Linked DNA regions of Cricetulus griseus. The protein of the gene in region 2 interacts with the protein of the main gene of each other region in a biochemical or structural test. Links are inferred from orthologs where the notes say so. Each region holds a gene or a part of one and is shown on either strand. Other genes may lie near its edges.

The links. The genes of interacting proteins can lie anywhere in the genome.
Region 1: the proteins of Ap1g1 (region 2) and Clint1 form a complex in vitro, tested with the Homo sapiens proteins (2 studies listed by BioGRID). The link is inferred for Cricetulus griseus from reciprocal best matches to the Homo sapiens genes AP1G1 and CLINT1.
Region 3: the proteins of Ap1g1 (region 2) and Synrg form a complex in vitro, tested with the Homo sapiens proteins (2 studies listed by BioGRID). The link is inferred for Cricetulus griseus from reciprocal best matches to the Homo sapiens genes AP1G1 and SYNRG.

What each region holds. Positions count from the first base shown.
Region 1 is NC_048600.1:60,441,560-60,447,608, reverse strand, and holds part of Clint1 (clathrin interactor 1), read right to left. Parts: intron 4,034-6,049; coding exon 3,856-4,033; intron 563-3,855; coding exon 310-562; intron 1-309. UniProt on the Homo sapiens protein: Binds to membranes enriched in phosphatidylinositol 4,5-bisphosphate (PtdIns(4,5)P2). May have a role in transport via clathrin-coated vesicles from the trans-Golgi network to endosomes. Stimulates clathrin assembly.
Region 2 is NC_048596.1:186,136,254-186,142,863, forward strand, and holds the start of Ap1g1 (AP-1 complex subunit gamma-1), read left to right. Parts: upstream 1-2,881; 5' UTR 2,882-3,068; intron 3,069-3,074; exon of another isoform or gene 3,075-3,218; intron 3,219-6,610. UniProt on the Homo sapiens protein: Subunit of clathrin-associated adaptor protein complex 1 that plays a role in protein sorting in the late-Golgi/trans-Golgi network (TGN) and/or endosomes.
Region 3 is NC_048600.1:97,234,878-97,240,926, reverse strand, and holds part of Synrg (synergin gamma), read right to left. Parts: intron 4,846-6,049; coding exon 4,543-4,845; intron 3,240-4,542; coding exon 3,006-3,239; intron 2,141-3,005; coding exon 2,063-2,140; intron 559-2,062; coding exon 362-558; intron 1-361. UniProt on the Homo sapiens protein: Plays a role in endocytosis and/or membrane trafficking at the trans-Golgi network (TGN). May act by linking the adapter protein complex AP-1 to other proteins. Component of clathrin-coated vesicles.

The DNA.
Region 1 (6,049 bases), on a different chromosome or scaffold from region 2:
GCTCTTTCCCTAGTGAATGTGGTGGAGACTGGTGATGCTGGTGTAATGAAATGGGCACAGATAGGATAGCTACACTGAGATCCACAACCTCCCTGTGTGGATGACAGTGTTATTTCTACCTCACAGAAAAAGTCATTCAGCACTGGGACAGGTTTCTTACCCCAAGGAAACCTCTTGTTATTAATGACTGAATAGGGCATGCCAGGTGATCTATAATTGACACAACTGATTAAAAGGCCCCAGCTAAGGCAGGAACTCTGAGAGCAGTTTATGAGAATGAGGCAAACATGCTGTGTAGACCCATGTTACCTGCACCTTCGCTGAAGACTGAGGCGTGTGGGTTGGAGCATTCTGATCCGGGCTGGCTTTGTCCCCTGTGTAATGTGCTGCTGCTCCAAGATCAATGGTTTTGGACGGGTTTGCTGTGCGCTTGTGCCTGGTTGTGGTGGTCTCTGTGGCCTGTGTGATATGGATATGCTTCGTTGTCACCGTTTCCTCTTCATCTTTGAATTCACCTTTGGGAGATCTGCCTCTTCTTGCTTTCTTTTCTTCATCACTGTCACTAAAAGATATTAAAAATGAAACAACATAATAAGACTTGGGAATATTGTAAGGAGTCCTTAGTGATTAGAGTGAAGAATTTCAAATGCACTAATTCCAAAGTTCCACACTTCGACTGTTTGACAGGATCAACACAAAGTTATTTAGGCTGCTGAATAATGATGTGTATGTATTAGGGAGGGGAAGAGGGAACGTGCACAATTTCCTAGTTAAGTCTTAAAACATCCCTGTATTTTTGCCTGAGCAAAAGAATGACTGAACTACCTTAGTGTTTGTTACAGATTTAAAACTTAACCATTAGATAAAATAGCAGCATGATGTCAGAACCAGCTGTTGGAACTCGGTATCACAGGAATATTCACAATCTCAAAATATACTGTACAATGTCTATAATTTCATTTCTTCTCTTTTTCTTAAACATTATTACCAACTTTCTTAAAAGACAAGAATGCCATATAGTCTTAAATGATCTCTAGCTCACTATCTAGCCAAAGATGACTCCTTATCCTCCTGCTTCCACATCCCGAGAGGTCAGAGGCTGTGATGCCATACCAAGCTTTTACAGGTCCATCTTAAGAACTCTGTTAGTGATTTTCATGCAGGAAATGTAACAAAGAGTAACTAAGGTGAGGCATGGGGTGCACCCTGGTAACCCTAACACCTGGATGGAATGGCAGGAGCCTAAGGTCATGGCTCTACAATGAGCTTAAGGCCAGCCTGAGCGACCAAAGATTGCTTCAGAGAGAAGGAAACAGTGAAATTTCAATGGTCAGCTTAAAACTCTATGCCTTGTCAACCATCACCTGAAAACCAATACAAATATGAAGCAATCTTTTTTGTAACTGAGCTTCATTTTGCTACTCTGTCACATCACACATTACCTAACTGTCAACTGTTAGAAACTTAGCTGTATTTAAAATATTTCCAAACAAGTATTTTACTCATGTTAACACTGCAAGTCAACCAATCAAAACCCCCACAAAAGCAAACCCCCTAGAAAGCAGGAAACCAGGATTTTCGTATGTTGGGAATGAAGAGACTACTAGAATATCAAGCCATTGGGTTTCTGTTTGGCTGCAAGCAGGAGGAAGGAAGAGAGCGAGCACCATGAGAACATGAAATATGTTCCATTACCTATATTACATAATTGTAGAGAGGGCAGTTTAGTTTATAAGTATCCTGGAGCAAAATGCTTGGATTTCTCCCTCAAACTAGGACTATACTGATGAAATGTAACTGTAATGTAAAGCAATCTCAACTTAAATACAGCACATGGGCTGACAAGAAGGCTGGAGATAAAGCCCCGAACAAAGGGAGAGCAAGAGAATCAACTCTACAAGTGGTCTTCTGACCTGTACTCTGTGCACTCCCATGGGGGTGGGGGGAGGGAAAGAATGGTTTCCCACACAAAGCACAAGAGTTAAATATCCTTTTAAACAGAGGGATTCTAAGGAACATACAAGTTCTGATAATTACAAATAAAGCAAACAACAACAAAATGACCTCACGATTGTATCAATAACCTTGTAAGTAAAACTGATGTTTGACATCTAATTGTATTTCAATGCAAGATAATACTTTGAACATTCAAGAACTCCTGACTCCAATAATGAATTAACAGACAAGACTCTGGTCACATACAACTCTGTCTAAAATATACTGTTTTCTCATCAATACTCTGAACTGCAACATGCACACGTGTCTAACTGGTATTTGAATATAGTTTAGACCTTTAAACCTGAATACGGTGGATCAAAGGAACTCAGCCCACCCTGCCTCAGTGGGAATGTAAGGAAGAACAACCAATGATAGCACCACCCTGGCCAAAACCACTCCGGCAAACATGGGAGGCAAAATAAATAAATAAATTAATTAAAAAAAAAATAAAGAGCAGAGACCAAGGCAGAGAAGCATCCCCAAGGATGGGAGGGCAGAAGGAGGAAAGAAATATAGTGTGGGACTACACACCACTCTATCACTAAGATCCTACCTTACTCAACTCCAGAAATAGCAATGAAACACTCAGCTGCTACGTTTTTCAAGTGAGAGCAAAACCTTTTACACACAGGCCATACGAATCTGTGTCTAAAACATTTAGGGAAGCCAGGAGAGTACTCAAACACTGTTTCCCAAAGTTCAGTGTTCAAAACTAAAACATGCAGGCAGACAGGCTCCCATTACTGACATAAACTCTGTCCCTTCAAAGACCATGTTCCTATAACTCTTGAAAAGGGCATTCTAGAGATTTAATGACTCTGGAATGGCACTGAAAATACACTAAAAATGGGTGTTTAAAAGCCTATTTTAAAAATCAGATTATGTTTTTTATTTGAATTTCATTTCTATGATACCCTAAAACCAAACTATTATGAATCTATGGGTAGGAAAAAGATGCTATTTAGTTTAAAAAAAAAACAAAAAACAAAAAACCCAAAAAACTAATTTTACACAGGTCCACACAATCTGAATGGACCTCTTGTTTTACTTCTCTTGTTTGATATAAGTTCAACATAATCACCTACATCAGAAAATAATGTGTATAAATACAGGCCTGTACTACAATTCTAGATGCCAACTGCACAGGACTCTTCTGGTCATATGGGCATGGGATGGTAATGCAATGTCTCAGGTAGTTAAATTTCAGCTCTTAACTTTCTCTAAAACTTAGTGCGTAGGCATCATCATTTCCCCTACATTATTTTAGACAATGGAATCATCTGATGTCCCAAATTTAAAATGGTGAATAAAAATTTTATCAGAGATAAAAAACTTCAGGACAAGACTAAGATACCTGAAGAAAAATGCAGAAGACAGATGAATCACTATAGAAACAGGCAAGTGTGGACAGGGTGGAAGAAGTGTTAACACTAAGAGCACTTCTATCTGACCCAGTGTCATGAGAGATGGTTTTGGTGTGGGGCTGACTAGCAGCTTTATGAATGATTCCCCATTTGTTTTGCACAGGGCATTTCCAGGGAGTTGACATCACTCTGTAAGACATTACTGGAGAATATCCCACATGTGCCAAACTGCACATCAATACTGGCTTATCAGTTAACAAATGTTACCAAATTAACACAATCTTGAAACTTGGGGGAAGGACAAAGGTTATGTAACAGCCTTCTGTACTTTATAAGCAAGTTTCCTGTGTCCTTAAGACTCCTCTAACAAAGTCTGCTAAAAAACAAAAAGCTAAACTTCAGATAACATCAATATCTCAAAACCAGACAAACCCAAACCAAACAGCTGCAGAAAGCCGACACCCCTCAAGGCAGCAGCAGAGAAGTGGCACACCTGCACCTTTCCGGAGAGTCCTCCCGGTCTTTCCTCCGAAACTTGCTGATGGTGTCGTCGATTGTGCTTCCGATCTTATCGCTCAGCTCCCCTAACTTGTCACTGAATGGAAAAGCACTCTTGTTTTTATCCCACTCTTCATCCCACTTGGACTTGGGCTCAGGATCATATCTTTCATCTGTGTAAACAAGAAAGAAAGAAACAACTAAGGATATTAAACTTGGAGGGAGCCACAGTCCTTCCTTCTGAAGACTTTCTCATAAAACATTACTTTTAAGAGAAAACAGAAATCTCCCACAGAGCCACATGCACACTGCATGGTGCAGCTCATGCCAATCATCTTGTCAGGAACGCAGATTCAAAGCTTTTCTTCATGAGAATGTCACAAACTTGATGACACCCTGAACCCTACTGTAGAGAAGGAGCGGAAACACAAAATACACATTCCATGAACACAAGATGAAGGAAAAGCGTTCTAGTTTTCAAGTCATTAAACGAATCACATTTTATTCTCATCTCAATGGTGCTTAATTTTATGAAGCTAACAACAATATCTTAAAAGAATAGAAAGTAAAGCTAGGTGTTATAGCACAAGTCTGTAATCCCGATATTCAGGAGACGGAGCAAAGGGAGTGCAAGTTCTAGGATGACTCAGGCCACAGCACAACAGAACTTGCTTCCAACAAACAACTAAGAAAGGCAAGGAAGGGGGTGGGGAGGGTGCTGAGACTTGAAGGGACAGGGAGAAGAGAACAAGGCTGGAAGAGTGAGCACACATATGCAAAGCAAACTATCGAGACATGGAGGCAAGAAGCTGTACTCCAGACTGCTACAGATTAAAAGCTGAGTGATCATGAGACCAAGTGTTCAAGGCCATCCAGTGAACTACAACACAGCGAGATATCCTCTCAAAAACAGATGAAAGAGGAAAGACAGACAGACAGAAGAAAGGAAATCTTAACTGGGCAACCAACCAATCTACTCTAAAAACACTTATTTCCCTTAAAGGACAACCTTGAGTTTGACTTCTGTGACCCAATTAGTTGAAACACAATAGATCCTAGAAACACAATAACCGAATGGATTTTAAGGCCTGGGAAAGAAATCTGTAATTTCCATAAAAAGAATTCTAACTTTTCAAACCTACACACTTTAGAACTACAAGCATGTCCAGCAGCTCTGAGCTAATGAGGACCCATCAGAGTGGCTGGAGACACACATGGAGAACCTCTGGAGTGAGTAAAGGACCACAGCGATACCATGATCTGCACTGGTGCTTGTCTGGAGCTCAATGAAGAGATGGGAATTACGGACACAAATAGAAAAAAGCAAAACTGGGATAGAGAGATATCATATGAGGTTTGAAGAACAGAAATGGTATGAACAGAGGCAGGTTAGGAAGCATAAGAAAGGGCAATGGAAAACAGGACAGCAAAAGGGAACTTCTACTCAGAACCCTTGTTTTTACATGCTGTGAGGGTATAGGTGCTATTTGGAAAAGTTCTTAAACATACGCTGCTGAACTGCCTGTTAGAACCTCAAGGCTAGATTTCACCAAGAGTTTAAAGATTTTAAAATACATGTAAAAAGAGCTGGGAACACAGTTCTGAGAGAAGGTTCAGATCTCATGAAGCCTGTGTTTAAATCCATATGCTGCAGAATGAATGGATGAAGGTCATCACCTGATGTCATAAGTAAAACCGCACAAAACAGTTAAAGCTGTTGAGAAATCCAAAAACCATTAATAAGAAACAAAGACTGTTAATGCAAACACAGGCTAGCCCACTGTGACCCTGTCTGCAAACTCACTCAACTTTCTAAATTCATCAGCTACAATTACACACTGTGCTGGTAACAAAATGGGACGCAAACACATAGAAGGAGGAAGTAAGCTGAAAATGGCAATTCAGCGATACAGAAAAAGCCAAGGAACAAAAGGACTACCTGGACAAATCCAGAGCCTTTTCATTATTTCAGAGAAGATAATGACTCCAAGACTTCAGTGCTTACTAGAAGAGACATACATTCCATCGATTCATGCGCTGGCTTTGTGTGATATATGAGGTAAGACTATTTTTGCTGTTAGAAACAACTTTTAATAATAACTAAATGCAGTATTGTTTTTTTCTCTGAAAGCAGGCAAGCAAAGGAACAGAAGAGTGAAAATATTTTATAGGAAATCACAAAATGATAC
Region 2 (6,610 bases):
TAGGCCCAGAGATGTTAAAAACTTTGGCCAGACACAAAGTCAGCGAAGTCAAGCAAAACTAGAATGTAAACTGTCTGACTCCTTAGTTCTGTTGTTGTTTGTGAGATTGAGGCATGTAAAATAAAAATGGCCATCTCTCTCAGCCCTTGCCACTTCCTTAAAGTTTGTTTGCTCTTGAAAACTGTTGTTATTTTACAAATGAAAGCCAAGAGCTAAGGGCACAGCTTAGTTGCTGATGTAAATAGACTACATACAATGAACACAGCTTGTCCCTATGCGGTACAACAGCCTTAAATGAGTGTTGTGGCAACTCATTCCGCCAATACTTAGTGGGAACTTTTCTAGTATGTAAGAGGCCCAGACTTATGCCCCAGAAATGTAAACAAAACAAAATGACACAACAAAAAATAACAGCTGGAGAGATAGCTCATTTGGTAAAGTGTTTGCCTAGCAGGCATGGGGCCCTTTGGACTATCTCAAGCATTGGATAAACTGTAGAGGCAGCAGGATGGGAGCTCAAGGTCATCTTCAGGTACATAGAGAATTTGGGACTATCCTGGGCTACATGAAACCCTGTTTCAAAAAATATTTTTATGTTACATAAAACTGTAACTTTTTTTTTTGGCCAGGTGTGTTAGAAATGACCTACAATCTTCAGCACTTTGTAAAGAGTGGACACCCTTAAGTTTGAGGCCAGCCTGAGCTACATGAGACTATCACAACTCTCCATAGCCCTGATGCCAGAGGCCAGTAGGGGGCATTTTCTTTTCTTTTCTTTTTTTTTTTTTTTTTGTTTTCTTTTTTCTTTGGGGAGGGGTTTTGAGATAGGGTTTCTCTGTGACTTTGGAGAGGGAACATTTTCCAATAAAGGTTTCTTTTCAAAATGTGCAAAACTTTTTAAAAAAAGATATCATCATTGCAAACACATTTTTTATAATCCTGCCATCCAAAGATAATCATTTTCATATTTTAATTTTGCTCCTCAGTCTTTTTATGTATGCATACAATTTTAAGAGCTCATCTAAAAGATTTAAAATGTTTAGTTATGTATATGCATGTGTGTCTGTGTGAGTGTCTGCCCTGTGCATGGAGGCCAGGAGAAGGTGTCAGACTCTGTGGAGCTGAATATTCCTGACATGGAAGCTAGGATCTGAACTTTGCTTTTCTGCAAGAGCATCAAATACTTTTAACTACTAAAACATCTCTCCAGCATCCCAAATCTTATTTTAATAATATTTTTTGGACATATGTCATATCAGAATAGTAAGGTTACAGCTAGGGTTTTGTTTTATTTTAATCTTTTTGAGATAGGGTCATAGGTAGCCAAAGCTAGCCTCAAACTTTCTATATATATCTCTGATCTTCCTACCTCTACTTCCTAAGTGCTGGGATTTCATTGTATACTGCCACACCATGTTAATGGAGTGGTAATTTAAATAAAGGAAAATATAAGTGAAGAAAATAACAACAGAGAGAGGGTTTAAGTTACTATTTTCCTTTTAGTGTTCAGTATTTCTTACGGGGTGGCCTTTATGAGATAAAATTATTCTGCAGCTGAAGCTAGCCTCCAACTCACGGTCCCTCTGCCTAGCCTCTTACAGGTAGTGCGGCCACCACTGCTGCCTAAAAAGCCCCCCCCCCCTTTTTTTTTTTAAGGAGACAGGGTTTCTCTGTATGGCTTTGGAGCGTGTCCTGGAACTCGCTCTGTAGACCAGGTTGGCCTCGAACTCATAGAGATCCACCTGCCTCTGCCTCCTGAGTGCTGGGATTAAAGGCATGTGCCACCACTGCCCGATAAGTCTTAAGTCTATTTGTAAAACTGGGTTACTTACTTGGATTCAAGAGATTGCTTACAGGGTTGGGTTGTACATATGAAGGTGCCTTATGAACAATGGCATACCAATATTTAATAAAGAAATGTGATCATGCCCTTGGCGTCCTTTCTTTCCAGGCACTTGGCATGCCCCAGAAATACAAGGTCAAAACTGTACCGCTAGGCATACCCAGTTCAACGTCTGTAAAGTATTTTGAAATCCTTGCATAAAAAACGAATGCCTAAGGAAAAAGGTGCAACTTCCTGTTTATGACGCCAATGTCTCGAACCTAGGATTTGTGCTTAGTTCCCTGTCTTTGGCGTTCAGTCTAGTACTGTGTTTTGTTGACACCCGGGACGACTTTGTTGCCAATCTATTGGAAAGATTTTATTCTAGGTAGGTCACCTTTCCTTTAAATGGGCCAAGATATCAAGGATCTCTCGATTCACATGGAAAAGACTTTTGTCACAAGTTAGCAATTATTTATCACGTCCGGAACTGTCTAGCTAGACTTTCTTTGGCTCAGGTCATTAGTTCATTTAATGGTAGATTGGAAGCCAATTTTGGAGGAGTTTTGGCTGTCATTTATCCAGATTCTCTTTTCCCACAGGAGGGAACTGAAAGGTTGGCGAGATTAGGTGACTAAAGCACAGGGGTGGTGATGTGCGTGGAACCCATTCTTCTGCTTCATCTTCTACCTGTTTTCGTAAAATTTTTATGAAGATACAATAAAACCACAGACTCCAAGACCACTTGGAGCATGCTTCTGAAGTTGAACACAAAGCTAAGGACTCAAGGTGACGGGGACGATTTAGGAATTCTTTAGGACTAAATCCTAGTTAAGTGTGCTGCGTTTCCACCTGCCTCTCCCTCAACCTTCTCCAGCTACCTTGCCTAGCCCCGCCCCCTCAGGTGGCCCCACCGTTTCCTGGTAGCACAGCTTCCTTCCCCAACCCTGCTTCCAAGTGGAACCAAAGTGCGCTGACTCTGGGGACCGCCGGATCTTTCTAGTTAAGACTCTTCGCAGCGGTGACTCGGCAGCCGCGTCTAGCGTCATCAGTGACAGCCCCGACCCTTGCTACGCTTTGCGTCGCTCTGCCAGGCGCAGTCGCCTCCTCCTTGGCAAATAGTCCTCGGCAGGGTCCGAGTTTTCGGGTCGTCCGAGGTGGGAAACAGGAGAGGTTGCAGTTCAAGGGGCGCGGAGTTGACGAGGAGAGGGAGCTGAGGAGCGCCGTCTTCTCGAGAGCGCGTGAAGTGAGTTAGAAACTCCCTCCCTTCCCGGGATCCCTCCGCCTGCAGTAGCGGTGGTGAGGCCGAGGGAGCCGCCATTTTGGATGTTCGGTTCCTGCTGCCACTGCTGCCGCCGCCCCCGAAGCTGCTGGTTTCATTCGAGGTTTCGGGCCGGTGAGTGTCACTCGCGGCACTGAGAGCAGGTTGTGTCTTTGGCTCCGCCGCGGCTGCGAGCGTTTGGCTGGAAACCTCCTGTCAGTCCCAGGGGTCCGGTCTCAGCCTGTGGGGGGTGAGGAGGACCCAGGTTGGGCAGGTGGGACCGGGGAGCCCCAAGGCTTGCTCGGACTTACTGAGGGCCGACCGACCCTCAGAGGCTTCTGAGCAGGAGCTTCGGTGCGCGGGCGCTCCCTCTAGTGTGGCGTTGTCCAGCCGGTGCAGGCCTCCTTGAACCCATTGACTTTATCAGGCTGCGAGCCTCCTTTGAAAGCCGGTTCAGGGAACCTCGGATTTAGCGGGGCGGGCCCCACCCCCGCGTGTCCTCTCCGAGTCTCTTATCAGTGTTCTTGTGTCGTGGACTCGGGTCAGATGTGAGAACTCTCAGCATTTCCACATGCAGGGGTAATGCCTGTGCCTGCGATGCCGTCTGCTCAGAACTGGACATCGGCCTCGCCTCCTTCTAACCCTTCGACTAACTTCTGGTCTAAATTTTTCCGCCTCCCCCCCGCCCCTGCTTTTTAAAAACGTACCTGCGACTGCACCTTCTTCTCCAACTCTTGGTTCTGCGGACGTCCGTTTCTAGTAATTCTCCGGATCTTTCTCATTGCCTGGAACTGTGGGTTATGCTTCCCAGTTAGGGCTTGGTGTTGGAGAGCCGTCGAACCACCTAGGGTGTATTTCAGTAGTAAATGGGTTTAAAGCAGGCAGAGAGGCTTTAGGTGGGAAGGAGCTGTCAAAATACTTTCTGGATTTCCTTTCTGCCCTGAACGCTGAGCTTTCAGGCACTTACTGATACATATTTTTTTTTCTTTATTCTTTTGGCGTTGTAAGTGCTTGAGCACGGAAATCTGCCCTTGGAGAATATTAATCTGACGTAGGTAGAAAGGAAAATAACTTTTTTGGTTCCTATAGGGATTAGTTAACAGAAGAGCGAGCTGAATGATCTCTTAGTGACTTCAACCTTCAGGTGTTTGTATAGCAATGATCTTTGCTGACTTCATATGTTGACTTTTCTCAGGGTAGTTGAATTTTAAGCGTCCATTTCCACCGTTGCCTGTAGTATTTGTCAGACTTTATACCTCTTAAGTTTTGATTTGAAACCTGTGGATCCTCGAAGTACTGATAGCCTCATTACTCTAATTCTGTTTTTAATGTCTGTTTGCAATCTATCGTGCTTTAATAAAAAAAAAATTAACAATAATTCACCAGTTATTTCCTACATTTCAGGTTAGGTGAGTGTGGTTGAGTCACCCCTATTTTATCTCAGCCTAGGTTTTTACAACTGCAAAAGAGAAATAACTTATTTGAGTTCACATTTAAGTGACTTAAACCTAAGTTTTTTTATTTGTTTGTTTGTTTTTTGTTTTTTGGTTTTTCGAGACAGGGTTTCTCTGTGTATCTTTGGAGCCTATCCTGGCACTCACTCTGTAGATCAGACTGGCCTCGAACTCACAGAGATCCACCTGCCTCTGCCTCCCGAGTACTGGGATTAAAGGTGTGCGACACCAACGCCCAGCTTAAACCTAAGTTTATAACTTGAACCGAGTCATATCTCTTGGTACTTCTAAAATTTATGTTGGTGCTTTATTTATTTATTTATTTATTGATTGATTGATTGATTGGTTTTTCGAGACAGGGTTTCTCTGTAGCTTTGGAGGCTGTCCTGGCCCTCACTCTATAGACCAGGCTGGCCTCAAAATCACAGAGATCCACCTGCCTCTGCCTCCTGAGTGCTGATACTAAAGGCGTGCACCACTGGCTTGATGCTTTATTTTTAAAATCTTTTGAAGTTTTATTTTATTTATTTACGTATGAGTGCTTTGCCTGCATGTATATATGTGCATCACTTGCATTACCGTTTCGGGTGGAAGAGGGTATTTGGATTTCCTGAAAGTGGAATTTCAGGCAGTTGTGAGCTGCTCTGTGGGTGCTAGAAACTGATTCCATGTCCTCTACAAGAGCAGTACATGCTTTTAGCCTCTGAGCCATCTCTCCAGCCTCTCTTTATTTTTAAGCTTTTGAAGTGAGACTGCAGGTAAATCTTTATAGGTCATACAGTGTCAAAGAAGACACTATTTCCAGTGTAAATATTCTGTGCTCTTGTTACTTGTTTTAAGAAACTCCTTCAGAACTATATTAATTACTGTTAGATGTGAATTCTGTGTTTTGCTTTGAAGTTGTTCAGTTTTCTTTTGCTTTTAAAAGAACTCAGTGTCTTGTACTTTACTTCAGTGATGTCCTGTTTTTGAGTTCCCTTTTTTGAACAGGTATTGAAAGAGCTATCAAAAGTTATTTAACTCAGTAGTATTGTGGTATAACATACTGGGATTTAAATGTCATTCATTCTTTGATGGTTTGCAGTTTACTGGGAGAAAGTACACTTTTGCCAAACAAATATTAGTAAAGTACTGTTCTGTGTATCGTTGATCAGTACATATATAAATTTCTACCTTGTCTTGGCTGTTGAGAATTGCACTAAAAGTTAACATTTGTGTTTAGTAAACTTCCATTTATTTCCTTCCTTCTTCCCTATCCCTCCCCCCCTTGAAACATAATTTTGCTTTTTGCTAAATCGTTCAAGCTGACTTTAAGTTGTGATCCTCCTACTTTATCTGAGTAACAGGGATTAACAGGTCTGTCCATCAGTCTGGCCCAGCATTTGGGCTTTGAGACAGTCTTCCTATGTTGCTCAGGTTGTCCTGGAACTTGGATACTTCTCTTATCTTCTCAATGCTGGGAGTGCAGGTTTTTGTCACTCTAGATTGCTAGCCTAGAATACTTCAGAGTTACAGGTTCTAGTCCACTCTACCTCCCAGAAAGCTAAAACCAAAAAGTTTTAAAACGAACAGGATACACAGCAGATAAAAACCCAAGTAGTTTTGAATGAATCATTAAACATTCTTTATGCAAAGTTAAAAGGCCAAATGATTCTTCCAACAGTTTTGTTTGTTTGTTGTTTATTTGTTTTTCAAGACAGGGTTTCTCTGTGTAGCTTTGGAGCCTCTCCTGGAACTCACTCTATAGACCAGGCTGACCTTGAAGTCACAAAGATGCACCTGCTTCTGCCTCCCCAGTACTGGGAATAAAGGTGTGCACCACCACCCAGCACCAGGTTTTTTGTTTGTTTGTTTTGTTTTTTAATTTAAACAGTTGAATTGGAATTCACCTGTCAAAACATCTCAAAATACTTAATCCTGCCAGTGAGTTCCAATACAGCCAGGACTACCCAGAGAAACCCTGTCTCAGACAACAACAACAAAACACAAAAGCTTAATTTCTTTTATTTGTATTTGATAGGGACATAAAATTTTGTGTATGTAATAGTATATAACTGATCAAAACTTGCTTTT
Region 3 (6,049 bases), on a different chromosome or scaffold from region 2:
TACTAGGCTAACTATACTTTTTGTTTGTTTTTCAAGGCAAGGTTTCAATGTGTAGCTCTGGCTGCCCTTGAACTCACAGAGATTAAAGGTATGCACCACCACTGCCGGGCCAGGCTAAGTATATTTTAAGGAATTCTAAACAAGGGCAGAAGTTGATTTCATCAATTACTTTCACTTTCAAACAAAAGAATAACTTGCTAGGATGTGCATTATATGAACTATACATTTTTGAAACACTTTCTCACAAATGATCTAAATTTTAATGTACAAGGAGATCTACAAGGCGGTAGTGAAAAAAGGGTTCACACCCTTTCAACCTGTGGTAACAACACACTGTTCTAACATAAGACACACAGTCTACCTGTGTTACTGCTACCATGGCGAGAACAGTATAAAGCTCTTCCTTAGTAAGTTTGCCAGGTGTAGTCCGATTGGCTAAGGCCCATATCTGTCCGAGAGTTTCCCTGGGAAGTCCAGATGACATCAGAATGGGATAAAGTTTAGCAGTATCTATTCCAGTTGGAGTCATTGTAGTTTCTAAAATTTTCTTATAGGCATCTATTAAAAGAAAGACCAGATGACAAATGCAAACGCATTGCAGGTGATTGACTTTGTTGTTGCCATTGTTGGTATAAAAGAATAATCTAAAGTCAAATTGCTTTAATTTAGTTGGCATCTGACTCAGTGGGGAAAGGCACCTGATGACCTGAGTTCAATTCTTGGAACACACAAGGTGGAAGGAGAGGACCTATTCCCATAAGTTGTCCTCTGACTTCCACAGACTTGACTGGGAAAGGATGCACGCATGTGTATGGAAACTATCTGCAAACTATCAGAAAATGGACAGAACTAAAAAAAAATACACTAAGAGCTAGTTTCTGTAGGTTTGGGAGAATATCTAGTTTTTGATTTATGGTTGTATGATCACAATAAAAAGTAGATATTACCAGTTCCTTCCAGAAAGAAATTCTCCTGTAGAGATCTTGCATCAAGGTTGATTTACTCAAGTGGAGAATAACTTTGTACCACCCTTGAGCACTGATGAGCTAGCGGACATCACCTCCAGCTTGCAAGGCGCTGAGCAGCAAACCAAGCAGCTGTGACTTACTAACCACAGCATCTGCTGATGAGAGGACCGCTGTTTCTGTGTTTATTGATCATGGCTTAAACATACCACTGTCTGGTATCCACTAAGGACTACCACACAATTCATTTTAGCCATTTCTTCAGCTCAGCAATAAAACTACACATGAAAAAAACAAACAAACTCACTCTACTTTCCAATGTAGAAAACGATGCTACCCAATCTTTCATTTTATATAGTTTCATAAGACCATCAGAAAAAAATACACTTACAATCCATATAAATTGAGAAAGTCTTAAACATACTAGTGTGATTCTTTAAAAAAGATATTTTTAAAATTTGTATGTGTTTCGCCTGCATGTAAATCTGTGTACTACATGTGTGCTTGGTGCTTGCAGAAGCCAGAAGATGGTGTCTGGTGCCCTGGAACTGGAATGTGGTTGTGAGTCATTATGTGGGTTCTAGGACTTGAACCCAGGTCTTCTGGAAGAGCAGCCAAGTTCTTAACCACTGAGCCATCAAATCACTTCAGCCCCAATAGCGTGATTCTTGATAGGTTATTAATAGTCTTTGAAACAAGTATCTGATCATATAATCATTTAAGACACAATAACTCTAATTGCTTGGCCTTTGCCCCATTAGCCACCTTGCCACTCTCAATAAAGTAGTCTCTCTCTCTCTCTCCTGTTTTTTTTTTTTTTTTTGAGACAGGGTCTCACTGTGTAGTCCTGGCTGTCCTGGAACTCACAGAGAGCCACCTGCCCCTGCCTGCTAAGAGCTGAGAGTAAAGGCTTGCATAACCATGCCCAGCCCACATGAAGTTTATTTAGTTTTCTATACTCCACAGGAAAAAAAATATAAGTAACAATTCCTTCTGCATATTTTGTAACCATGACAGTAAATATTTAGAAATACTTCTATAATATTTAAAGTAACATATCTAAGAGGGGAATGCTGGGCAAAGCATCTTTACTTTACCTGGAACCAAACTCTCATTGTAAATCCAAGGAGGCATTCTGGGCTGAACAGGATCCTGAGAGGGAAACACGGCCACCCCTAGAAGGTAAGGATGGTTAATGATCTGGAGAAGAGAAAAGCCACTGTTTTTTACAAAGAGGAGCACTAGCTGCAGTCACTAGAAAAGTCACCAACATAATATAAGCACTTGGTTTCCAGCAACTCTTGTGCAGTCACTATGAATTAAAACATAAAGAGAGAGTATTAGGTACCAAATCAATAATCGGAGTCACCGGGGGCATGCACCATTTAATGTGTTTGACAAGTTATGGGGAAAACACAATAGACAGTGGCTTAAAATTACGTGTGTAAAATATCCCCCTTGGGTTTGTCTCCAGGGTTGCCCATATCCTGCTTCATCTCCAGTTAAAATATGGATTTAGCTTTTGTGTTTTGAGAACAGGACCTATGGCCATGTGGCTACTGAGTGTACAGTCCACTGCAGCTCAAAGACCTGCTTGACTTTCTCCAGTGCTGTGGGCCGAGTGTGTGAATCTGGATCTTTTAGGTCACAGCACAGACAATTTAGCTCAGACAGAAAGACTGCATTTTCATTGGTGACTTTTTCAGTTACAGATAAACTGTTTAACTTTTACCAAAAACCAGAGAGCATGAGATGAACCAGAAGGGAACTGTTGTCAAATGAGAGGAAATTTTAGATTAGGAGTGATTCCGATTAGGAAACAGGCTTATCAAAATCATTTGAAGAGGAGTAATACAGTTGTTCAAAGAATTCAGAGCAAAATCTTAGAGGTTAATTGGAGAAAAGACTGCATAAATGTTTTTAAGCAAAATCTGAATTAGCACAATCAAGCAGCATCCATTTTAAGATTAATGCTCAAGTGTTAGCGGCTGAGCGGCAGTTGGTTAAACAAAGTTTGTGCTGAATGTTGCAGGAGCTCACCACTCTCTCCATTCGGCAGGTTTTGGTCTGAAGTCTTTTCTGCCTCTGCAGTGGTGAGACCACTTACACATCCATCTACGGCACCCCCGTTACGGGCCATTAAACTGGGGCAGTTCTTACTGGAACCTGGGACTATGGCTTTTTGCCCAACTTCAGGAGTGTTTAATTTAATTTGTTCCTGCCCAGATGTACTTAAATCACAAGATACTAGGAGCTTCTCTTCCAAGGAAGGGCCTAAACAAACAGCATGAAGGATTACTTGTGTATGACTTACATATCCCAATCTTGTCACCATCCCTTCCCACCCTCATGTTCTCAGGGGAAAAACTCCCACAGAGCATGGAATTATATAGTAATTCAATTGTTACCATTGGTGTAGGATTTGAGAGACTTCAGAGGTTTGGGGGAACTCAACATAATTACCCTACTTGGTTCTCAGGGATTCCATGCCACAGGAGGTAGACCCATGCAGTGAGGGGGGGCATGCTGTGGGAATTCGGCAAGCTCCCAGACACAGACAGTGTCTAACTAGTGGGAGACCTGACTGGCCTGTTTTCCACATCTGTCAAATGACGAAGTCTTAAAGACTACAAACAGGTCTCCCAGGACACTTCCCAGCACACTCTGTCTTGAGATAGACTGTGCCTGCCCCATGATTTCACAAATGATTAAAATGGAAGTACAGAAATGTTTAAAGACTTGTCCAAGGATAAAACATGTCACTGCAGAAGGCTGGCCTCAAACCTGAGCAGGTCTGATACCTCTGTCTGCCTAGTACTGGAATTACAGACACGGTCACCACATCCTTCTTAGATGGAGTCCTTCTTTTCTTTTTCTTTCTCTTCCTTTCTTCCTTTCTTCTGCCCTTCCTCCCTTCCTTCCTTTTTTTTCCTTCCATTTTGAAACAGGGTCTTGTGTAGCCCAGGCTGCCTTGAACTATGTAGCTCGAACTCCTGATTTTTCTGCCTCCATGACTCAAGGAATGAATTACAGATGTGTATACCATAGCTGGCTAAGATATCACACTTTAAAAGGGTGTGATTTATTTCTCTTTGTGTGTGTATGTTGGTGCATATGTGAAAGTGAGAACTTATAGGAGTCACTTCTCCCCTTCCAGAGTGTGAGTTCTGGGGATAAACTCAGGTCATCAGGCTTGGTGGCAAGCACATTACCTTCTGAGCCATCTCATTGGCCCTGAAAGATTACTTTTTAATGGCGTTCTCTCTATAGCATTATTTTAACACTATATCAGTGATTCTTTTTTTCCCAAGCAAAAGCATAATCTTAAGAAGTCAGTTTGCTTTTAAAGTTTTCTGGTGGTTTCACCTGTTTCTAACACAACAGCAAAAGGTTTTAAATCACTTTCTAGCAAATGAAGATGCAAAAACTTCATCTAGCCTAGCATTGGTAGCTGTTGATGGTTCTCACAAATAACATACCACGTTTCTTTGCCAATAGCACTGTATAATTCTACATAAATAAGAGAAATAAATTATCCTACAATATCTTAACACTTCGATAATAACACTAGAGTTACCTGCTTTTTGCACACTGTGTGAAGCTGAAGCAGCAGAGAAACAAGGAATTTGCCCAGGGCCACCATGTAAGGCAAAAGACACTGGAACCTGACCTGGAGGGAGAGGCTGTGCTCCAGCCTTCTGTGTGTGCAACTGGCCGAGTGGGGTTGTGGGGAGGAAAGACTGAAAGGGACCGGCCGTGGAAGGGGGCCCACAAGTGGGAACCTCAACAGGTCCCTGCATAAAATCACTGAATTCGTCTTCGTCAAGAAAGGCAGGTGATGGGGAGACAGTTTTAGTAGAATGAGATGATGTGGGACAATCTGCAAAATGGAAAATGGCAATGAAACACACAGGAATGAAAACCGAAGAGAGAAAGAAATCCAGATGTAACACAACCCTCAGAACATACTGAAATATGAACAGTGGAGGTGAGTGAGAACAACAGTCAATGGAACCAGAGTGCTCCTGGAACACCTCGATGTCTGTTTTGTTCTAAAAATAAATTCTAGAGCTATTTTATATTTGGTTGAAGAACAGACAAAATTAACTTACATTTCCTTTTTTCATTTTATTAGGTAGTACTAAGTGTGTATCAAAGTGGTAATTATTTCTGAAATCCAAGTGGTCTGTCTGATAATATCTCTTTTATTTGTCTATATGTTTATTTTTTGAGACAGAGTCTGTCTACTATGGAACTTGCTCTGTAGACCAGGCTGGCCTCAAACTAACAGAGATTGACCTGCCTTGGCCTCCCAAGTGCTGGGATTAAAGGCGTGTGCCACTACATTTGGCCTAGACAATCTTACTAAACAAACAAACAAACAAACAAACAAACATATATGAACAGAGATCTGAACAACACAACACAGTTGATTACTTACTTGCTGCTGAATGCTGGCCACAGATCTGTGCTAACAACAGAACTCTATATGAACACAATGTGGGACCTAACAATGGCCACTGCTCTCTGCCTTTTCTATATTCGGTGCCAGGTCCAGTTTTTGCCCTAACTTTCAATGTTTGTATGCTGACAGGCTCAGCTATATATCTTGTGTTGACCTAGAACTTGCTATGTATGTACTCTAGGCTAGCCTCAAGCTCACAGCTCCTCTACCTTAGCCTCCTGGTGCTGAGTTTACAGGGCTATGTCACCACACTGCCTGAATCACTTCATCACTAGCTTGTATGGCTTATACATAATTTCAGTTCTAGATATACTTTTCCTTATCTCAAAACGATTGATAGTATCTATTCTCCTTCCAATTTTAGTGTATACTTTACTTTGGGCATGATTTTGGTAATAGGAATCAAGGTACATAATCTAATCAGTGAAATAAACAGGATCAAGAATTAATAACAGGCTGGAGAGATGGCTCAGTGGTTAAGAGCACTTAATGCTCTTCCAGAGGACCTGGAGTATGGTTCCTGGCACCCATATCAGTTTCACAACATCTTGTAACTCCAGGCAGGGTGCCCTTGGTGGATACAACACACAGACACACATAAATAAAAATAAATACTTAA